Linked DNA regions of Alligator mississippiensis. The protein of the gene in region 1 purifies or fractionates together with the protein of each later gene. This does not show direct contact. Links are inferred from orthologs where the notes say so. Each region holds a gene or a part of one and is shown on either strand. Other genes may lie near its edges.

The links. Proteins that work in one complex are often made in the same cells at the same time.
Region 2: the proteins of RAB11B (region 1) and RAB11FIP1 purify together in Homo sapiens (affinity purification with mass spectrometry; 3 studies listed by BioGRID and IntAct, counting the BioPlex papers as one, with this or other methods). This does not show direct contact. The link is inferred for Alligator mississippiensis from reciprocal best matches to the Homo sapiens genes RAB11B and RAB11FIP1.
Region 3: the proteins of RAB11B (region 1) and PI4KB purify together in Homo sapiens (co-immunoprecipitation; 3 studies listed by BioGRID and IntAct, with this or other methods). This does not show direct contact. The link is inferred for Alligator mississippiensis from reciprocal best matches to the Homo sapiens genes RAB11B and PI4KB.

What each region holds. Positions count from the first base shown.
Region 1 is NC_081839.1:10,095,755-10,103,745, forward strand, and holds the start of RAB11B (ras-related protein Rab-11B), read left to right. Parts: upstream 1-4,991; 5' UTR 4,992-5,061; coding exon 5,062-5,101; intron 5,102-7,991. UniProt on the Homo sapiens protein: The small GTPases Rab are key regulators of intracellular membrane trafficking, from the formation of transport vesicles to their fusion with membranes.
Region 2 is NC_081830.1:18,618,541-18,625,627, forward strand, and holds the start of RAB11FIP1 (rab11 family-interacting protein 1), read left to right. Parts: upstream 1-4,070; 5' UTR 4,071-4,141; coding exon 4,142-4,503; intron 4,504-4,525; exon of another isoform or gene 4,526-4,727; intron 4,728-7,087. UniProt on the Homo sapiens protein: A Rab11 effector protein involved in the endosomal recycling process. Also involved in controlling membrane trafficking along the phagocytic pathway and in phagocytosis. Interaction with RAB14 may function in the process of neurite formation.
Region 3 is NC_081838.1:19,916,373-19,924,346, reverse strand, and holds the start of PI4KB (phosphatidylinositol 4-kinase beta), read right to left. Parts: upstream 3,018-7,974; 5' UTR 2,903-3,017; intron 2,321-2,902; 5' UTR 2,214-2,320; intron 1-2,213. UniProt on the Homo sapiens protein: Phosphorylates phosphatidylinositol (PI) in the first committed step in the production of the second messenger inositol-1,4,5,-trisphosphate (PIP). May regulate Golgi disintegration/reorganization during mitosis, possibly via its phosphorylation.

The DNA of each region.
Region 1 (7,991 bases):
ACTCTCTCTGTAAAGCATCTTTTGCTGCCGCTACTGGAAGTATTTACTACATGCAAATGTTGGGCCTAAGCCCACCAGGAAACTATAAGCAGTTAGAGGGGGACCTCTAACCCTGTACAAACTGAATAGTGGGGACAACAGATGAAAGAACAAGAACAGGAGTGCAAGTCAAAAGTTAATAATTAGGGTCCCAAAAGGGAGGGAAAGGGGGGACACTGAGCAGGCTAGTGCCTGCTGCCCCTCGAATGCATCTAAGCAGCCTCTAGACTCTGCTCAATGAAACTCTGCCAGGAGACATGCACAGATGAGAGAAAGGTAGACAGCCTCATAGTTACCCAGGTTCCCCATAGACAGCACCATATTGGAGGTAGAAAGCTGGGCTAGACAGACCATTGGTCTGACCCAGGACCGAACTTTTCACATTCTTACATTCCTCTGAATTTTTCAATACCAGAAAAAAAATATCAGCCACAAATTTCATGAGTGTGTACTTAGATCTTGCACCAAGGTCACTAACAAAAATGTTAAACAGAACAGGCCCCAGAACCGATGCCTGAAGAATGCCATTAGCAACCCCATTCCAGTCTGAAATCTCCATTTTTAACATAATCAACCACAGGCTATCTTTTAGCTACTCCTTTTCTACCTTGTGATTTTATGATTTTTCAGAGAGGCACAATACCAATTGCTTGCTTAAATCTAGATCAGGGGTGTTAAATATCCAGATTCTGGGCCAGAGTTGGCTCACAGAGCAAGCAGTTTCATCTAGCCTACAGGGCTGGGGAAGGAGACTAGAGAATGTTGTGGATCGTCTAGTCCCCATTAGGTGTCATGTCCTGGGGCAGAATTTGAGATCCCCAGTGGATATGTCCCTCTGGCTCCTTGGCCCATCAGAGAAATCATAGAAAATCAGGGTTGGAAAGGCCCTCAGGAGATCATCTAGGCCAACCCCCTGCTCAAAGGACCATCCCCAACTAGATCAATCCAGCCTTCTACATGGGTCTTAAAAACCTCCAAGGATAGAAAGTCCACAACCTCTCTGGGTAACCTGTCCCAGTGTTTTACTATTCTTCCAGTGAGATAATTTTTCCTATTATTTAACCTAAACTTCCCTTGCTACAACTTGAGACCACTGCTCCTTGTTCTGTCATCTGCTACCACTGAGAGCAGTCCAGCTCCATCCTCTTTTGAACCCCCCTCCAGGCATTTGAAGGCTGCTATCAAATCACCCGTCAGTCTTCTCTTCTGCAGACTAAGCAAGTCCAGTTTTTGCAGCCCCTGAACCATTTTTGTTGCCTTCTGCTAGACTCCCTCCAATTTGTCCACATCCTTTCTGTAGTGGGAGCCCAAAACTGAACAGAGTACTCCAGATGTGGCTTTACCAGTGCTGAACAATCACTTCCCTTGACTTGCTGGCAACACACCTACCAATGCAGCCCAGTATGCCATTAGCCTTCTTGGCAACAAGGGCACACTGCTGGCTCATATTCAGCTTATTGTCCACTGCAACTACCAGGTCCTTTTCTGCAGAGCTGCTGCCCAGCCAGTCAGCCCCCCAGCCTGTACTGGTGCATGGGATTGTTCCATCCTAAGTGCAGGACTTTGCACTTGTCCTTGTTGAACCTCATGAGATTTCTTTTGGCCCAATCCAATTTGTCTAGGTCACTCTGAATCCTAGCCCTACCTTCCAGCCTATCTACTACTCTGCTCAGCTTGGTGTCATCTGCAATCGCCACTGCCTTATTGCCTCTGCAGCCCTGTGCTGGATTCATCATCACTCTTTGCCCCATTCTGGATTCATTACTGCTGGCCCTAACACAGGCATCCAGGGCATTTATGAACATATTCCTGGCGTGTGGAAAGGGCACTTTAAATAGAGTGAGTCCAAAAGCTGCTCTAAATTAAAGCATTTGGAGCATCTCATGTATCAGCATCCCTGCACTTCAAAATGGCAGTGGGGTGCTTTAAGTAAAGCTCATCAAACACTGATACACGCGACACTGGAGGCTACTGGAGCATGGTAATTACCACACTCCAGCAGACTCAATCAAGTCTGCTCCAATACACTGTAATTTCAGTGAGTCAGAGCAGACTCATTGCATGCATATAGGTGCCCAGTGTGCCTTGAGCTAGATCTAGCCTACAAGGAGCCCTGTAGTCCAGGGCACAAGGTGAGCTTCAGACCCCTGATTTAGGTAAATTAGGTCCACTGTATTACCCTTCTCTAAGTTATTGTTCTGACATGAACTCCTTTGGACATGGGCAGATCTAGGATTTTGAAAATCCTAGCGCTGCAGATGGTATGTTACATCATCACATACAATACAACCTATTTTTCTCCAGTTAGAGAGAAACTAGAAGCTTTACTAAGATATTGTGTCGTTAGTCCTGTAGTCATTATAGTTAAATGTGCATATTTTATTAAAATTCACAAAACAAAATCTAGTCTTCCTGAGCATCTTGACAGTGCCTCCTATACTTCACTGTTAGTCATTTCTACACCCGAGTTAATATTACCACACCAGATTTAACCTGAGTGTTTAACTAGCGGTACAAGCAATCTGCAGGGCTGTGAAAAATATGAGGCATACTCAGGAATGGCTAATAGACAGCAAAATTGCAGAAGAAAGGATAGGTTGAATAGAGGAACATCAAGTCCATTACAAAGGATAGCGGGTCCTTAACACTTGCAGAGTGGACAAATATCAGCAGGAATCAGAGGACTTAGGAGTCATGAAGTCAATTGACTCTCTCAGCACTCCCTTAATAGAAATGCCGCTGCCCTTGCCAAGCAATTGGTTTTCAAGTATGGGTGAGTCAAGAATTAAAAGGAGATGACTGCACTATTGCACACTCCTGGATCCACCTCTGCTTTTGGATAAAATTATATCGCATCTTGTCTTATTTTCTTTTACCTCCATATCTCTATTTTTTCCTTCAATCTGTTCTAAAATCATGCATAATACTAAAGTCATACTAATGGGCCTGTAATTACCTGGGACCATTTTTTTCACCTTTCTTGAATAAAGTCACTATCGTTGCTATTCTCCAGTAACAGGGTACTACACCTGAACTGACAGATCAGTGCCACAGAAATTGCTTTTTCACGTGCCATTCTTTCAGCATGCTGGGGTGGAGAATATTTGGTTGTACCATATTTCCTCACAAGAAGCAAGCTAAGTCTTGCATTCATATCACGTGTGGTAGTTTTAATTACCAATTCCTCATCCCCATCTTGTACTTTACCACTATCTTCACTTGCTTCCTCATCCATATTGAAGACCGAGTGTTCATTCAGTCCTCAGGACATATCTAGATTGTCCTTTATCTCTATCCTATTGTCAGGGTATAAAAGGTTTCCTTCCTAGTTCTTTTTCATTTATATGACTGACAGACCTTTTGCTATTTTTTGATTTTCTTTGCAAGTTTGAACTCATGTAGGCCTTTGGGCATTATCACTTCCTTTCTGCACTTTCTGACCTGGGAAAGACCTCTCTCCTTACTGATCAATCTTGTTTATCCATTCCTTGTATATCTTAATGCCTGGATAATGTGCTAGTTTGTCCAGTTTGGCCTGTAACATTTTCCTATCCACATTTTCCAGATAGTACTTGTGGTTTTGATTCGCATGGCTCATCTGCATTTAAATCCCCTGAACTCTGAATCCAACTGGTCCCTTGAACTCATTTCCTTGGTTGCTCAAAGTTTGCTCTTCTGAAATCCAAACCCCAGTTGCAGACCTATTTTGGTTATCTTGCAGTTTACACAGAACAGCTCATAATTACTGGAAAATCATCTTGAATCAAGAAGTGACCCTCTGTAAGGTGGTTATTATTTAATAAAAATCAACTCTAAAATAGTATTGACTCTTGTTCGTTGCATGACCATTCAACAAGAAAAGTATTGGCCGTCTTACCCCAAATACCGTGCCCGACCACTACCAGTAACATTTGTTATCCTGTCTATATCAGCCTAGTTCCAGTGTCCCCGAATTACCCAGTATTACTAACTACTCCCGCAAGGTCAGAGACACCTCTCTCCATATTCCAGTCTGACCCAGGTAGTATAATAAAACTGAACACATTCCCTACGGTAACCTGGTTATTACTGTCTCTGTGTAAGCAAGTTGCATAGGGACTGGATATGGTCAATCCCTGGACGGAAAATAGGAGTGGGATGGGAAACAGGGCTGTGCAAAATTTTGCTGGCAGCTTCATTTCAACGCGGTTTTGACTCGTTTGGCACGGCCCTAATAGGAAACTAGGTTGAGAAACGAAAAGAGAGAAGAGAGAGCGATAACAGGCGGCTGGAAGGAGTTTGAACCCCCGCTCCTTCGCCGCCGTGTGCGGAGGATGGTGGCGCGCTCCCATCCGAGCCGCAGAAACGAGAGCCCGGGCGTGACGCGTGCTCTGCTCCCCTTTGGACCCCAGACCCGAGCACCAGGGCGGAGGCAGCAGGCTCGTCCTGCGAGCTCAGCCCCCCTCGACACAACCCGGACATCTCGACTGACTGAAGGCAGCGTGGCGATGCCCGAGCTGGGAAGTGAGCCCCGCCACGCGCCTCCTTTCTTTAAAGAAACCCCCTGCACCCGCGGCCCCAGCCAGCAACAAGAGCCTGGCCCCGCTCCCGGCCGGCGCCGCAGCCTGGCGCGGAGCAGGCCCCAGGCGCAGCCAGAGCTGGGGTGCGGGGACAAGCAGGGCTGAGCCGGGCCTAGGCCCTCGGGGCGAGTGAGGCGGCCTCAGGCCTACGCCGGGCTCCTGGGCCCGCTACTCGGAGCGGGGCGGGGCGGGGCGGCCCCCGCTGACATCCCCGCCGCAGCCTGCCCCGCGCGGCCAGGCCCCGCCCCTACCCCCGCTCGCGGCTCATAGGTTGCTCCGCTTGTCAGTCAGCCTCTCCCGGTCTCCCATTGGGCAGTGGCGGCGGGCACCGCCCCGGGCCCGCCCCGCCGGGGGCCTTGGCGACTGCTGATAGGCTGCGGCAGCAGCGCCCCCCCCCCACCCCACGCAGCGCTCGGCCCGCGTCGGTGCCTGGCAGCCGAGGAGCGGGGCCGCCGCCATCGCCATGGGCACCCGGGACGACGAGTACGACTACCTCTTCAAAGGTAGCGCGGCCCGGCCGGCGGGGCGGGGAGGAAGGGGCCTGGCAGCGAGCCCGCCCCACCGCCACCCCCGGGCCCCGCGCCGCCGCCGCCCTGACGTGGGCCGGGCCCTGCCCCGGGGGGCGGCACTGACCTTGTCCGCGGCGGCTCCGGCCTGGGCAGGGGCAGGGCTCGCGGGCCTGGCCGTGAGATGCGCGCGTCGCTGTCCGCGCTGCCCCCGACGTGCGGCCGGGAGCAGCGAGCGGGCAGCCCCCGGCGCAGCCCTGCTTCCCGCACCTGGGCCTGCCCGAGTGTCCCCAGCTCCCGCCTCCTCCTGCCTCCCCGGGGCTTTTTCCCAACAACTTCGGAGGAAAACCGCCTGCGAGTTGCTGCGGAAGAAGCTCCTCTCCGAGGGCTGGGAGGAGAGAGAAGAGGAGCGCGGCACTCGCTGCCAGGGTCGCCCTCGTCCCAGCAAAGGGACGCGGTTTTAAGGAAACAAATGCACGTTTCAGTAGTGAGTGAATTCAAAAGCCGCATTTCGGCACTTGTCCCGATGGTGCAGAAAGTGACCTTGGGCTAAGTGTGGGACTTTCTGCCAAAGTGGTTAAACCAAAGACAGTCGCTAAAAATGAGGTTTAGCATAGAAAAAAACCCTTGCCGACCTTACCTTGGGCTTCCAGGAGTTATTTCCGTGCCCCCGTCCACGTACACTTGCAGCGTTCCCACCGTCGGACAGTGATAAACTGGAATTGCCTTTTTAATGATAGATATTTTTAATGTGGAGTTAATTTATTTTCTGATGCCTGTAGTCATTTATAGTGTTGGCTTTATTCTTTTTTAGAGACTGACGGTCATCCTGTCTGAGGTCCAGAAAGCATTTGAGGTGGATGCTCTGAAGTTCTAAAGAATCTTTTTTTTTATCACGCTTTTTCCTTAAAATAACCCGCTTGGCAAACTCCCCAGCACTAGCTGTACAGTGGTAGGAGCCCTAGTCTTTGGCTTTGCGCGCTCCATGTTGTTTAGCACGGCGAACAGGAGCTTCCTGTGAGACGGAAATGCTGATGGTCAGCAGTGCCGTGTCCTCAGTAGCATTCACTGTTCTAGCAAAATAAGGCGAGTGGTGACAGCATCTCCATGTGCCGTTCGCTGCAGTTACTCAAGAGAACGGCTGCGGTTAGGATTATGCGTGTGAATTTGGCTGTCGGTAATAGGAATGAGCAGTTGTTTTTCCAAAATGAATACTTCACTGTGTCTCCTACTTCGATATTCACTTCAGATATACTGTCCTGCATGGCCTACTCATTTTATAATGTATTTATTATTTAGGTTTGTTTTCTGCCCCACTTGGGTTCAGGACGGCCTACAATCAATGATAAACAACCCATGGGTGAGAAACAATAGATGTCCTAAAATTTGAAACCTCCACCCCTGCTGCTGCTGCTTTCATGTTTAGTATCCATGGACATTTTTACACATGCTGATTAAAGCAGCCCCATCTTCCCCCCCCATCCTAATTAGAAGTGCCCAAGCATCACACGTCAGCATCCTCCACGCTGAAAAATGGCGGCAGGGCACTTTGAGCTAAAAGCACTCCACCACCATTTTTCAGCATGGAGACACATGCACATGATGCTAGTCTGCTGAAGCGTGGTAATTTCTGCTCTCCAGCAGACTCGATTAATCCAGGATTTCCAGCACATCGGAGCCAGCTCCTTGCATACGTATAGGAGCCCAATGAGAGCAAACTCTCCAGTCCTAAGAGTAGCTGATTATTGAAAAAATGTTTTTTCTTCCCCACCTCCCTTAAATTACATGTAGCTGATTTCAGTGTGAAGCTGCCAGGTTGTGGTACTAAATCCTGTCTAGATCAACTATCCACTATTAACCTTCCGACTAATTTAGTGTCCTGAAACTTAAAAGTCTGATATTTTTTATAATGCTTTTCCTTTCAGGAATGATTAAACAAGTTACTTTTATATAAAAATTGCATGCATGCGTGCATGTGTGTATATGTATGTATGCACATACTAGCTCTTTCTAAAGAACCATGACACTATAAAATCTTATGGTAGTGTTAGTGATGTTATACCTGCGATCGTCCAGGAATTAAGCAAGAGGCAACTATACAGTTAGTCCAATAAAAGATATTACTTTAAGAAATCCTTGTCTCACTGTAAAAAGTAACGTTTTAAAATCTAAATTGAGATCTGATATTAAACTCCTTGGGCAGGGATCATTATTTCTTTATTTGTACTACTAAGTATTTGCCATAGTTGGCATAAATGAAAGGTGTGGGGGGAGAAACCTTGTCTTATCTAGATGAATTGGAGACTTAGAAGTGGGGGGCTGTCTCCCATATGCCAGGTTAGTGCTTAAATAATAACATGGGAAAGTTTGCTTTATATCTCCTCGTCGTGGAGTTAAAACTTTCTCCTTTCCAGCAGCAGGACTTTGGGGATCTCACGAATCATGTAGCTGGTTGTAATTATATGAGAACAACTGGGGATTCTGCATGGTCTGTTTCTGGCAGTAATATGGTGATGGACAAAACCATCTTCCTTCTTTTCTTCCTGCCAGCACTAAATAGCAAGGGGTGCACTGAAAAAATGGTCAAGTGATATTTTTTTTTGTTTGGCTTCTGACTCCTTTTGCAGCTTTATGAGTTCTCTATCTCTGTTCTAGCAGCTACATAGTCTAAAAAAGATGGCGTTGGGAGAGTAGCATGTCAAGAAGGGATTGTTTGCATGTTGCTACATGTAAAGTAGACTTTTTGTGTAGTGAGCGGTATCTGCTAAAGAAATATGTATACGAAGAATCAAATAGATGAGGAAGTTCTATGTGGTCTGTTGCTACACAGCAGTTTTTAGGTTCCTTACGTGGAAGACAAGACTCGAGTCAGTGGTCATCTTATATA
Region 2 (7,087 bases), on another chromosome or scaffold:
CCAGGGCTAAGTCCCATGTTTTGTTCCCCAAAAGCAGAGTGACTTAACATAGGCAAGATAGATCATCAGTCCCACTTTAAAAATGGAAGAACGGGAAGCGAGAGGGGGACTGGTATGCAGAGCAGTGAGTCAGCAGAGACCAGACTCTGCTCCGAATGATTAGAAGCCTTGTCTCCACACTACGAAAGATAAATGTATTGGACCACAGGGAAACCAACAAGTGAGAGCCACCCAAGGTAAAAACACAGTGAAAACATATATTTTTTTTAAATAATTTTTTTGTGTTCTGGTCCAAATCAATTCCAAATCTGTGAGTCAGTCAAGTTTGCCCTACTGCTGGCAAACATCCTCCACCTCACCTAGGGCTTCAGATGTTTCTAAATCCTTTGGCAGGCATCCTAGGTGCAGGCCCAAGCTCGGAGACTTGGGGTTCAGATGCCCCCGTGTTTCGCTTGCCCTCAGCCATAAGGCCCCAGGGGTAAGCCTGGAAGGAGTCTCCCATTTCCATAAAGTGGGCACAAAGCCAAGATCTTCCCACTCCAGCAGCAAGTGGGAGCTTTACTATACATTACTTCCGTGGGTACTGTATGGTACCTACCCCATACTAGAAAAGCAGCCATCCTTGGGTGCGACTTAGTGGTCATGGTGAAAACATGGTGCTTAACAGATACTATGAGTTAAACCAGACAAGGTATAGCTGTGGGAGAAGAGTGCCGAGTGCACCGTAAAACTGAAGTGCCTTGCCGTCATGGTGAGTTCACCTTGCAGGGACTTATCATGCATTACCTTCTGTGCAGTGAAAATGCCTTTTTTAGCCGTGAAGACAAGGGATGAGGTCATTCTGAGGATAGAGGCCTGTGATGTCCTCCCTGCTTCTGCTGAGCCACATAAGTGCATTTCCAAGGTGTGCAGACAATGGTGTCTGATTGCAGTAGGTCAGTGCTATCTATGTAAGAAGCCCTCAAGCACGGCGCAGTGTATTACAGGTATTTGTGACAAGCTGTGAACAACGTACATGCACTTTATGAGCTGGGCCTGGCCCTCTACAGCAGTGGGGAGGGGGCATATTTTCAGTGCACAGGTGGCCGGAGAGTCTAAGCACCTGTCTGAGCCCAATCCAGGTGTGAGTTCCCCTACAGCAAAATCCATCTCACCTTGCTTTGGCACATTCACATCCTGGGTGTAGCTTCCCCTCTAAAGCTGGGCTCCTTAGCACAACTCTGACTGTGTGGGGCTTGAGGAAAGCTACATTCCAACTATATGGGGTACGAACCAGCTTTTCAAGGCTCAAACCATCACAGCGTTACAGGATTTCATCTCAGGCCCTTTCCAGTGCTTGGTCCGATCGGCAACTGGGACTTGCCACTTTTTGCTGAGACACGTCATCCATCCACTTAGAGGCACACACGGCCACGAGACTGTGGACTTCAAAGCTATGACAGGTTTCTGACTAAAACACCTGTCATGGGGCTAGGAGTGATTCTTCTCCACTGGGACTTTAGGCATGTATAATTATGGCGTCGAATCCTATGCTGGGGGAGAGAAGAAGGCAACCTTTCTCTCCCGGCTAATGAAACAGCAACAACAAAAAGATGTTGCTCACAGGATTGGAATGGTAGAATGAGGAGTTTAGTGAGGTGTTTAGGGCAGGTGAGGTGATCAAAGGTGTGCAGTGAACTAATTTGTCACATACCTCGGCTGTTTTTCACGTGGCCTGGCTTAGAGATTTCACTGCCACATACCTTGTGTGTGTGCACGCGAATGCGGATGCATACTGCCATTGCTCTGCCTTGCCTGTCCAGCAGATCTGCTCTAAACAGTGAGAGCCTAGTGATGTCCAATGTTACTAAGCTAGCAAAGTTTCCATTTAAACTCCTAAAACAGTCAGCATCTTTCATGCTCAGTCTCTGCTATAAAGGTGGAGCTAATCTCTTCCCATGCTGGATTTATGAATGCAGTTCAGCACTGTCTGTATGTCAGGGGTCAAAAGGAAAGCTCAGACACTTGACTCATGGGTCTTGGGTCTACCGGATTTTGAATTGGCTTCTAGCATCCTCCTTTAACTGGCCATAGATCCTCAGGGGAAAAAAAGGCCTGGTGACTTGGATAGCAAGGTACATACAGACATTAAGGGATTGGAGTTCTAGGATTAGGAAAGGTTGACTCGCCCGGGAGCTGTAACATGAATCATTAAAACCAACATGCTGAAGAAAACAATTTGGAGGTGTCTGGTGCATTAGTGTGGGTGTATGCATGAGATATGCAGAGAAGCTCTGTAATTTCTTTTTCCATCAGACAGCTGTTTTATGAACAGACATTCAGGCCTCTGTCTTACTAGGCCTCCAACGTAAAATGCAGCCCCGTGACATAGTGACATCATATGATCAAAAGAGCAAAAACTGAAAAGATATCACATTTACCCAAATAACTTTGTTTGCCTATGCCTTTAGACCAACACGGCTACAACCAATACACCTAAAACTAAACAGTGAAAGCCTCTTTGACACCAGAGAATTTTCTGAGCCTTTGCTAATGTTCATGTGAAGAGCTTTTGCAGGTGATTTCTTTTATTATCTAGCACTTGGCTCCCAGTCAGTTGAAACCAGGGGCACAGAGAGTCTGAGGGGAGGGACAGGCCTTTTTTTTTAGCATTGTGTTAGTTACCCCAAGTGAGGACACATCTAAGTGCTGGAGCGCAATGTGTCTTGCGAGCACGCGCAGATCATGCATGGGGACCTTAGTTGGTAGCTGATATAAGGAAGGGCAATAGGTGAGATCATTGTTTACTAACTCATGTGTAAATGAGTGACTCCTCTGTTCCTCAAATAAAGCAGAACCCCACCCTCCAAGCATTACATTGGCATGTCACACCGAAACTCCCAGACAGCAAAACTGCATTCTCCACCTTCCGGTCCGTCTGCTGTCTGCTGGCAACAAGCTTTCTTCGGATCTGACTGAGAAGCAGAGGGGCCAGGGAGGGAAGTGCAGATGGAGGGGAAAAAGCTCAAAGCCACGGGTCCTACACACCCACGTAGAGTCACAGAAAATGAGGGTGGAAGGGACTTTAGGAGGTCACATCTAGTCCAACCTCCTGCTCAAAGCAGGACCAGCCCCAACTAGATCATCCCAGTCAGGGCTTTGTCTAGCCGTGTCTTCAAAACCTCTAAGGACGGAGAGTCCACCACCTCTCTGGGTAACCTGTTCCAGTGCTTCATGAGAAAATTCTTCCTAACATCCAACCTTAAACTCCCTCGCTGCAACTTGAGACCCTTGCTCCTTGTTCTGCCAGCAGTCCAGCCCCATCCTCATCCACATCGGTGCTGCAGCTCTTTCCTAGGCGCAGTCGGTCAACGAGACCGGAGCCTCGAAAGCTGCGCGAGACCGATGCCGGCTGCAAAGCTCCCAGTTAAACAAACGTGCTTCATTTAGAAAAGCTGCTCCCCTGAGGAGCCTTGCACGGGCCTTGGCGCTCCTAGCCGGGGCACTGTCCCCGCAGGGATCGGGCTTGTGTCCAGTTCTGCGCGCTGGGCGCAAGAGCGCCCTGGTTCGTGCAGTCACCTGCCGCCTTCGGTGCTTCTGGAAGTGAACAGGCCTCTTTCTTACAAGCTTTATTCTGGACGGACAGAACCGGGACTGCCAAATACACGATCTACCAAGCACAACGACCCTGGCTGGGCGCGTCTACACGTTCATTAACGTGCCTGAGACACTGAGACACACTGAGTTTAAGACTTCCTTAATAAAGAGCTAAGGAAAGGTGGTGTGCCCAGAGTTGCCGCTGACTGCGCAGTTGGTGCGCTGCGACGCTTCTGGTGTAGACGCACCCGCCCTGTGGGACTCCTCGCCTGGGAGCCGAGGGAGGGGCACGGGCACGAAGCCTGCGGGAAAGAGGCACAACACACCCCCTTACTCCAGGGGCTTGGCCCCGCCCACCCTAGATAGACCCCGCCCACGCCCCGGCTTCCTACCGTGACCACGCCCACTCCCTGACCTTAGTGGCTCGGCCCCGCCCAGAATTCTTACCCCGCGGCTCGGCACCGCCCATTCTGACGTCACGGGCGGTCCCGCCTCTCGCGAGAGCGGCGCTAAGCAGCGGCTGCCGGGGTAGCAGGAGCGGCGGCGGCGGGGGCTCAGTGCCGCCATGTCGCTGCCGGGGCCGGGGTCCCCGCGCTGGGCGCCCACGCACGTGCAGGTGACGGTGCTGCAGGCGCAGGGGCTGCGGCCCAAGGCGAAGGGCGGCGGCGGCAGCGACGCGTACGCGCTGATGGCGCTGGGCAAGGACAAGTTCGCCACGTCGGTGGCCGAGCGCTGCCTGGGCCGGCCCGTGTGGCGCGAGGAGGCCACGTTCGAGCTGGCGGCGCGGCGCGGCGGCGGGGGCGCGCCCGGCCCGGTCCTGCAGCTCACCGTGCTGCACCGCGCCCTCGTCGGCCTCGACAAGTTCCTGGGCCGCGCCGACGTGCCCCTCGAGCCGCTGCTGCACGACGGCGGCCGCCGCCACACGCGGTCAGTGCGGGGCGTGGGGGGCCGGGGTGCGAGGGGTCCCCGCCCCGGTGACGCCTCCTCCCTTGTCTCTCTCTTCTCTCTGCCAGGCCGCAGCCCGCCGCTCTTTCGGGCTCTCTCCTTGCCGTGCCGATGGGTAACGAGCTGCTTCTGCTTCCCTGTCCTTCCTCCTCCTCCTCCTCCTCCTGGCTCTGTCTCTAGCCCCCCCGGAGGCCGCGAGGCCAGAGGTGCGTGGGGCGGCGGGTGCTGGGGCGCACGATGGAGGGGAGGCTGAGGGGACTGGGCTTGCTTGGTGTGGAGAGGGGCAGGGGGGTGGGCTAGTTGTGACCTCCTGAGGTCCCTTCCACCCTCGTTGCCTGTGACACTTCACTTCTTCTTGCTCGTGCTCCATGGCAGTGTGGGGTTCAGCCTTGCCGTGCAGCCCTTCACGTACCACAGACTGGAGGGCAGGGTAGGGAGGGCGCGGGGACGGCTTTATTGAGAGGGTCTGGAGGAGCACAGAGAAGGCCACTTGTCAGAGAAGTGCCCACGGCTGCGTGATGCTTGGCAGCGTACTACAACCTGTACCCCTGACGCTTGACAAAGTGTTTTACGGGTTGCTAATGTAATAACATTGCTTCTCTGCGTGTTGATTCATGATACAAGCTGCTTTGCCTAAAGTCTTTCAGCTCCACTGTCGACAGTGACTCTATTTAAGTGCGTAATTTGTGACTGAAGCAATGGAGGGGAAACAGCTCTCAAAGGACTTGGGCTAGAGGCCTTGAAATTGTCCCGAGTTAGTTTCAGGGCTGCTGTTCCTGGAGTACAGGTACCGACTGAGATGGGTTGGAGCTGGGCTGTTCTCGGTGGTGGCAGACGACAGAACAAGGAGCAACAGTCTCAAGTTGCAGCGAGGGAAGTTTAGGTTGGATGTTAGGAGGAATTTTCTCACCTGGAGGGTAGTAAAACACTGGAACAGGTTACCCAGAGAGGTTGTGAAGTTTCCATGCTTCGAGGTTTTTAAGACCTGGCTAGGCAAAGCCTTGACTGGGATGATGTAGATGGGGCTGGTCCTGCTTTGAGTAGGGGGTTGGACTAGGTCCCTTCCAGCCCTCCCAACCCTCATTTAAACTACAGACAGAATCACAGAGAATAAGCCCATAATGTTTCTTCTCCTTGCCACTTCACCCCTGGTCCTGAGGCTCTGCACTTTAGAGTACATTGTCTAGGATATCTCAGTGTGTAATATTCATGCTGCTGTTTTTTTATGTTAAGTGCCATCTCGTCTTCAGAAATGAAGTGAGCTGAATGAATAGGACCAGCTTTGCTATCTTAATCTACTGCACATTGGGTTTTGGGAAGACATTGCTGTGAGTTCATGTAGTTGATTAATGTTTCTGGTCTCTTCTTCTCAAAGACTAGAAATATTTAAATGAAAGCTTAGATTTGGAAGTAGAGTGGCTTGGAGCATTGGGGAGCTGGGAGAAAGTAAAGATAGGAGTGCTGAAGAAGAAAAATCCCAGAAAAATAGTTTCTGGGATCCCTCTGCTCAGCAGCCATTGGCTCTCATGAGACTTGCTCACTCTACAAATAGGAATTTATCTCCTAACTGTTGGTCCTGCCTGTCAAACTGGGTGTGTGAATATGTGGCCAGTAAAAAAAAGACTCTGCAGATTTGATTAAGCCAAGAGCTACCCCTAAATGTAAAATATAATCCCATGTGTTGGTATTCTTGCACAGCTGCTTTCCCTATAAGCTGACAGCATTACATGGCTGTTCTTTTGGGGCAGAGGCTCCATTTTCCGGATCCTCTTTGTTACATTGCACCACTTGAGAAAAATCCCTCCAGAAGGGGAAGTGAGGAAACTGCAGTCTGTAATTTACAAGAAGGGAGGATCAGCTAGCTTAATGATTGCAAAATGTTTTGAAGATGACAGCTGTATATTAAGCTACGCATGCGTATTCAAGTGTAATCATGGCCTGGAAGGTAGCAGTTCATCCTGATTTGAGTTTCCATGGATTAAATGGTCTAATTGGTAGTAAAACATGCAGGAATTTAGAGCAGGAGTGTGACAGGTGTGGAGTGGGCAAGCTGAAGCAAGAAGTTCTTTAAAAAAGAGTGTTTTTAATTGCAATAACTGTCCAGCTGTATTGAATACCCATATATCAGGTATGTCAAACTCACCTGATGCCCCAGGCTAGATCCTGACCATGGGACTGCTTGGAAGCTAGATCCACAGGCCATACGTTTGATACCCCTGCTGTTTAAATCTCTGTATAAATCTCGAAAAGTGGAACAGGTTGCACAGGGAACAGCAAAACCGAAGCCTGTCCCTGCTGTCATCAGAATGAGTTGCTATGGAGATAGATGGGCACAAAGAATTGATCTTATAGCCAGTGAACAGGTATAAGTGAAATATTAATAAGGTCTCGTATTGAAGTACTCTGAGAAGTAGTCTTAAAATGGAAGAGAAATACAGAAAATTACACGGCAGAGTTCTTTCTAAGTAGAAAGCCCTGGAATGTGCTTGAAGGGGTCTTATGAACATGAGAGCTTGTTCATAACTTGTGAATTGATGCCTGATTGTATAAAGTCAAAGCAGTCCAT
Region 3 (7,974 bases), on another chromosome or scaffold:
TTGGAGACTCCAGACACGTCAAGGTCGCTAGCAGCGTTTGGGCCAACCGATGTACAGATGCTCCCTCCCCCCGTAACACTAATCCAGATCTTCACCACCTCTAAATCCGTATGCTTAGCCTTGGCCATGCTGGGCCAGGCACAGCATTCCCGAGGCAGCAGGCACACAGGGATTTCACATGATGCTCTTGCGTGAGAGTCAGAGCAGCAGCTAGAGGAACCGGGTACAGGTGGCTCCATCTCACTCAGACTTGGCCCCAAGCTTACACAATCCCTTTCAGCCCCAGCCCAGTGCCCGGCCACATGAGCAGTGTGGTTATAACGCAACATGCAGCTTCCAGGGCAGGCCTGGACTTCAAATATCTGGGCACACGGGCTGAAGTTCCTGCTACCATTCGGCCTCAGAAAAACGTATGAATGCCAAACATTTGACATCCCTTCATGGTTTCTCAAGGCTCCATTTCAGATGGGGGTCAATTTAGCTCTCTCTCTGCTATTTAACTAGTAACAAGTCAGACCTTTGTGCCATCAGGACAAGGGGGCAGCCCTAGATTGGGAAGAAGGCACAAACAACAAGGCAGGAGAAGCCAGAAGCCAGCCATTATAAAACTGATTTCAACAACCTCGCTCTGTAAGCGCGATAGGGCACAGAGGAGAGGAGCAGCAAGGTTCTCACGCAAAGGACTCTGCATTCAGTCTCTGCATTAATACTTTGCACCTTCCAGAGACCAAGGCATTTAGCCTTCCAGTCGCACAATGAAGAGGAAACTGAGGCGCAGAGCACAACTGGCCAGATCACACAAACAGCAGCAGGAACCCCTAGCTGCCTCACTGTCCCCACTCTTCCCCTCTCCAAAAAGCGTAAGACAGGACTGGAAAAAAAAAAAAATCATGTGTTTTTCAAAACAAGCTGCTGATTTACTTTTCCAGCACTAAAAGGCTTGAGGCCCAGTCTCTGGAAGCACAAAGCTGTCCCAGCTCTCACTGACCAACAGGAGCTTGAGGCATTCAGGAAGGAGGCCTTCACAGTCCAGACTACGCAGCATTTGGAAACAAGTCAGACCAAGTCTGGAGGCAGTCTCAGAAGACACAGCACACGCTTCTTCAGCTCGACTGCAGCAGCAACTCGGGCAACCTGGTACTGGCAGCAATGCTTCAGAACAACCGGCCCTTCTCCACACCTCTCATCTCCAAGCCCTTTCTAACCAAGTCATTACTAGCCTCCTTTATTAGGGATAAAGGAAGGTCCCACGACAAACAGGTGAACGGCATAATCCGGTTTTGCACGCTCTAATCCAGTAACCCCAATCATTAGGTCCAAATGCTTCGCAAGATGAGACCTTGAAGTGAGCAGACAGGGGACAGCTGGTCCCCAGGGAGTTTCTTGGCTTCCACAAGTCAGAAGATACTTTTTTACCCAAGGTCCCCGGAAGCTCACATTTCTAAATACACAATTTAATACCAAAACTGCATTTCAAAGCTTGTCTAAGTCCACCCCTACCATGCAGCCGGTGCAGTAAAAGACAGCACCCACAAAAACCCCTGCCCCTCATACATTTCCTGGATCATCACAGCTACATCAGTCCAACACTGGCATTTTGAGATCAGACTGTGCCTCTGGCTGGTAGAAGCATCTAAACCAAGAGGTCAGGTGCAGCTGACCCTCGGCTACACAGAGATCCAAACTCAGCTGGGACACAAGGGGTGCCGTTCAGACTGCTGCAGCTACCACCACCCAGAGGAGGGTGCAGACTTGAACCCCAACTCTGCTGAGCACTTACTGTCCCCCAGGCAACTCTGTGCAGCACTGACCGCTGGCCTCACACATCAAGCGCAGCATTGCTCTTAAATCCTTGGGCGTCTCTTTCAGGTAACAGCAAAATGCAGGAGGGACAAGCCGGCCCAGGGGAGGGTGTTGGGGTGGGCCCCTAGTTTGCCTTGAGCCCTAGCCAAGTGCAATAGAAAGAAGATGATGGGGGGCTGCATCCTGTTCCCAAGAAGCTGCTCTGCACCAGAGCCCCCCGCACCCAGCGACCTGCAGCAGATACACCACTGACTACACAGCGAGAGGGGTCCTGGGCCAGGATGGCTCCAGATCCCGGCCCCACCTATGGACCTCCCGCAGCTCCTTATAGCGTGGTCCAAACCCACCCCAAAGCTGCTTGGACAAAGCTGGAGGCACGGACAGGACAGGGCTGTGCGCTGGGGCATTACCTGAGGCGCTCTCCCCCGACAGGGCCGCTGCTGCCTCCACGTGTGCTGCCCCGCGAGGCCGGACGAGCCGCTCATCTTCGCACCGCGTCAGAGACGGTCCCCACAGGCTAGCGGAGAGAAGGCAGCGAAGGGCCATGAGGGTCCGCTGGCACCAAGAGACCCCCCAGCCCGCCTGGTGGACGCGCTCCCCCCACATGCGCACACCCCCCAGAACCCCGTACACACACACACACACACACCCTACTCTCTCATCGCAACAGGCAGGTTCCCACACTTGCACACATGCGCCTGCATGCATCCCCCCACATACACCACACACCCCCCCCCCCAACACCCACAGGTGTGCACACACCCTTACAACCCCATCCCCCACAGGTGCACGCACACACGCTCCCCCACAAAACACAAATGCACCTCCCCTCACACCCACAACACCCACGTGGGCACACACATCTCTTACATCCCCTCACACTCACGTACATGGCCCCCCCGCACACCTATGTGCGCACCTCCCCCCGCGTCCACTGGCGCACACGCACTTTGCCTAACGCCACAAGCTCACACACGCCCGTGCCCCCCAACACACGCACAGCGCACACCGCACCCTGACACACCCCACACACAAATCACACACGCACCCTTGCACCCCACCACACACGCACGCACCCCCACCGCACGCGCACGCACACCTGCACGCCCCGCCGCCGCGCTGGGTCCCGCAGGCCCGGGGTGGCCGCGCGCCGCCTGAGGGTCCTTCGAGCGCGCGGGGGCGGGGGCGAGGCTTCCCCCACCGCCTCGGAGTCCGGAGCCGCCTATGCGCATGCGCCCGCCCCGAGCGCCCGCCCCTTTCACCCGGGAGGACGGGGGAGGGTACTGGGGGGGGGCGAAGGACCCGTGCACCCATAGACGCCGGTGGGCCTGGGAGGGTGGCTATCGCGCTGCCTGATCAGGAAGGGCCTAGTCAGGTTGCAGTGCAGCGGCGTTGCAAAGGGAAATAAACCGCACGTCACGGGGAAGGCGGGGTGGGGAGCATGTTGCTGTCTGTAGCTGGCAAGGCGCCGGGGGCCGTTTGCGTTGCACCCATTTCACAGAAGGGAAGACTGAGGCACGGTGGCCCCAAGGGCATTCCAGGGGCCAGGAATCCCTGTGCGTGGGCTAGGGCTGCTTCCAGAAGCCCTTGGAGGTACCCGCCTGCCCCTTCTGCTGGGCACCCAAGGGAACTGGGGATGCGTCTGGCTGCCCACCCCGCCGGCAGGACTGGGGGTGCCCGCGGTGCCGCCTCAGCCCCTCGCGCAGTCACGGGCCAGCCCTGCGATGCCCGTGGCCAGCTCGTGGTGCCAGGTTCTGCCAGTGCACATTCGAGAGCCGTATCGGAGCGTCACCCCGCGGCATCGCAGCCATCACTGCCCTGGCTCCGCGTTGCTTATTGAGTGTGAACCCCGCCTGGGCCTGCGGGCAGCACGAGCCGTCCAGGGGCCAGCCCTGCCGACCAGGCCATCGAAATCCTAGAGCCGCGGGGCTGGAAGGGAGCTCCCGAGGTCACATCTAGTGCAACCCCCCAGCCGAGGCGGGATCAGCCCTGTCCAAACCATCCATCATCCGAACTCTTCGACCATCAACCCTGACACAACAGAACCCTGCCCCAGGGAAAGCCAGGGGACTGCGGCAGCAGCGTCCTGCTGCTGTAAAAACATTGTTAATAGACACTAAAGAGCTCCCAGGCTGAGGCCGTGCATGCCCTTGTACAGAGGAAGGCAAAACCCACCAGTCCGGACCAGTCTGACCGGGGGGAAAATCCCTTCCTGACCCCAAATATGAAGTTGGTCTGACCAGGGCTAGGTTAACAATTTAGTGAGCCATTTATATAACTTTTTTCACTCAATAATTATGTAAAATAAGCACCACTGGGTCCCCTGCTTCACGTAGGGCCCCAAGTATGTGCCTAGTTTGCCTATACATTAATCCAGCCCTGGGTCTGACCCTGAGCAAAGGGGCAAGACCCTCTAGCCCAGTGGTTCTCAACCTTTTTTGGACCAGGACCCATTTGGAGATATCCTGACCTAGTGCCCCTCACTCCTGATCTGGTGCTCCCTGGCCTCAGCCCCCAGTGTGTGGGGCAGGGGGTGGGTGTGTGGGACACAGGGCCCTAAGCAGCCCCCTGCAGACTGGAGCTCTGCCAGCCTGCAAAGGAAAAGCCACGGTTTCCCACCTTTTTCTTTAAAGGAGAATCCATTTTAGAAGTTTGGTCACAACCCAGAGGTTGAGAAATGCTGCTCTAGCCAGGACCCTCCAGCTTTGGTGCCAGCAGGAGCACTGGCACAGGCCAGTCCCCAGTCCCAGCCTGGGTTGCAGCCAACACCCAGTGCCTTTGAGGGAGGCTTAAACCCTCCCTGATACATGGAGCAGAAAGAAGTTGGGGAAACCAACAAAGCCTGGGGGACTGAGAAATCCCCACAGCAGAGCACAGGCATCAATTGCTAGGTCATCTCCGACTAGTGGCTGTGCAGCCTCCTCTTGAACACCTCCAGTGATGGAGCGTCCACCTCTTCCCTTTCATCTATGCCATGAGCTCCCTGCTCTAACAGCAAGGTTTTTCCTGATCTCCAATTTAAACTTACTTTGCTGCAACTTCAGAGCTGTACCCCCAGCCCCATGCCAGATCTAGTGCACTCCAACCAGCTGCACACAGCACCCACCCCAGAGCAGCTCAAGTGGGGGGCGCTGCGTGTGGCATGTCCTGGACCCCACACATGGGGCATGTCTGGTACACATCACATATGGTGTGTGGGCCAACTCCAGACCTGGGAACAACACGGGCTGGATAATGGGGCTCTGTGGGCTGCGCCATTGACACCCCCAATCTAGCACATGTATTAACAGCATCAAAGCTGATGGCACAGGGAGCCTTTGTAGTGAGCAGACAGGGCGGTCGTGTTACATGATGCACTTGCTGCGCTTTGTCTGTCCGGTATTTGTCAAGTCTCTGTTCATCTCTTGGCTGGAGCAGGGAACTCTTAGAAGCGATTGCATGAAGCTGGCTCCCCAGTGCCCCACTCTCCCATCCCACAGCCCTGGGAGCTGGGGTCCCCTGCAGGTAGGTGGAAATCTCTTGCTTTGCAGGGTTTTGCAAAGTGAATCAAGGATGGGCAAGGATCAGGATACATCTGTGACCCCTTGTGAGCCATGCAGTTGGCAAAATACAGCTGCGCACAGGCCTTTTAGATGGAGAAAGCATTGATGCAGGCAGAAGTCTTCAACCTTGCTAGCTCATTTGCTGTTAATTCATGATGCTAAGTCCTGGAGGAATCAAACAGCAGCAGGTGGGGGTTTGCCCCCTGTTCGAATCTCTGCTTAGCAAACAGGTCGGATCCCTCTTAGCTTCTCCCCAGGTCCCTGCAGCCCCAGGCCGTGTCCAGCTTTCCACTCCTTCCCTGGACTTTTTTCCTGCTTCTCTCACATAACCAGCACCCAGCCTAGCCCATGAGGTTTCTGGGCACCGTCCTGCCTTTGCTTGGCTACTGCCAGTTGCCAGTGTTTGGCTTGGAGACCACTGTTGTTTCATTGAGGAAGTAAATTCTTTCTTTTCAGCTCTTTGAAGAAAAGGCTGGCGGTTAAACCAACTCATCCAGCCACACTTCATCTCCCCCATGACATATTTATTTAATAAGTACATAGCAGGAGTGAGTAAAAACCAACAAGGTTGGGGCTGGGGTTCTATGACTAGACAGTCTTTGCTCCAAGGAGCTTACAGTCACCAGCACCATACATAGCTGGAAGATGAGCCTGCAACTTCCTCCCTGCCCCAAGCTGTGAGGATGACATATCTGCAGCAAGGAGTTCAGCTGACGGGCAGGTGAGATGTACCTGAGGTGGGAGGATGTTCTTTCACAACCAGCTGAGTGCATTGCAACACCTACGCCCCTGTGCTACACTGGAGCCTGGGAAACCTGGAACACGTGCCTGGGGTGGTGCTGAGCTCTGGGACAGAAATGACATCTGGACAGCAGAGATGAGCCCAGAAAACCAGGCCTCTAAACTTCAGCAAGTGGAAAATACAAAGCGGCAGCTCCCTGGTGCCAGAATGCAGATACCCCTGCTTTGTGTGCGTGTGTCGGGGGGGATGGTTAAAATCAGAGAGGATATTTCTGGCTTCCAGGGCAGGAGAAGCAACTTTGTGGGGCTGGCTGCATGTCCTGAGCACGGCCCTGGGATATCACACATGCATGTGGACGGGCAGGGCAGCTGTCAGCTGGCACAAGGTTTTCCAGTAATAGTCACACTGCTTGAGTCAGCAGCAAGGCCCCCCACCCCACCCAGTGGCATGACAGGGCAGCTGCCCTGGACTTCCCTCCATGAGCACCTGGCACTGCTGCTATGTGCTGGCATTCATGAATGGCAGCAGAGGTTGCAGTTGTAGGAGTTCAGGATCGGCTTGGGTTCAGATTCCAGGCTGCTTGTCACAGTGTCAGGCTGCAGCCGATGAGGCCTGAATCCCAGGTCTCCACTCTACCCAATGGGCCCTAATTCCTCCTCAGGACTAGGATGAGAACCCAGGAATCCTGACTCCTCACCCCCATGGCTGTAACCACTACAGCCCATCCTTTCCCCAGATCTAGGCCCAGAACCCAGGAGTCCTGGCTCCCAGGTCCTTGCTCTAACTCCTAGATCTACTTCCCCCTTGGGACTAGCAAAGGAATCCAGGTGTCCCCAGGCTCCCTTGCTGTAGCTGATGAACACCAGCCTGTTCCTGGAGCTGAGAGAAGAATCCATGTGGCTGCTCTCTCAGCCACATACCCATCTTTCCACTCAGAAACCTGAGCAGCCACAAATGAGCTTTAAAAGGGCTCAGGCAGGCAGTGCTAGGGACCCGTCCCGCCCAGTCATGTGCTGGGAGCCAGAGGCAGGGGTACCCCAGAGTCTGCCAGGATGCCATGAGTCACTGGGAAAGCCCCGTGATTCCCATGACAGCTCAGGCTCCACAGTGGCAGGTTGGGGTGCAGGGCAGAAGAGGCTGCCCTGGCTCTGCTAGCAAACACCTTCCCAAAGCAGAGGGCTTTCTCCTCTTCACCCACTCCCCTCCTGATGTCAAGGCCTTGCAAGCAGAGGTGGCAAATGAGTTCTAGTCATTTCATTCCTGGCCCATGGTTAACACCCAGAGGATGCAGCTGAGCCCCATGGCACCAGGTGCTGTACAGAGCCAGGGTGAGAGATCCTTCCCTTCCCCAGCTGAGATCAAAGCCCCATGGTGCCAAGAGCTGCCCAGACCCTGAAGGAGCTACCACCTGCCCCAAGAGCTCCCAGTCTGACTGAACACAGTACAGGAAGAGAAACTGAGGCAGTAGATTCTGTTTTTACTTACAGCTCCCTCAAGCTCTTTTATCCATTTGCAAGCCCACATCCCCCCTCTCTCTCCCTCTCTCCCCAGCTGTGCCTGAGCTCCCTGTGTGCTCGGAGGCGGCCACAAGCTGGATCTCATTCATGCTGGCATCTGTCCAGGTCAGCTCCATTGAAAGTCACTCCAGATTTACACCTGTGTAAACAGGAGTGGAATTTGGCTGGTGCCATTGGCAGACTTCCCGCAGCTGCTGGCAAAGCCTCCTGGACCCTGCACACGCAGTGCAAAGGACCCACGTGATGCAGGGAGGCCTCCCCTCCTTCTCTGCTCACTATAAGGGGGCCCTCCCTCTCTGCTCACTATAACAGGGCAGGGGTCCACAGGCACTGGAGCAGGAGACACTTACTCAGAGACCTGTGGGGTGGG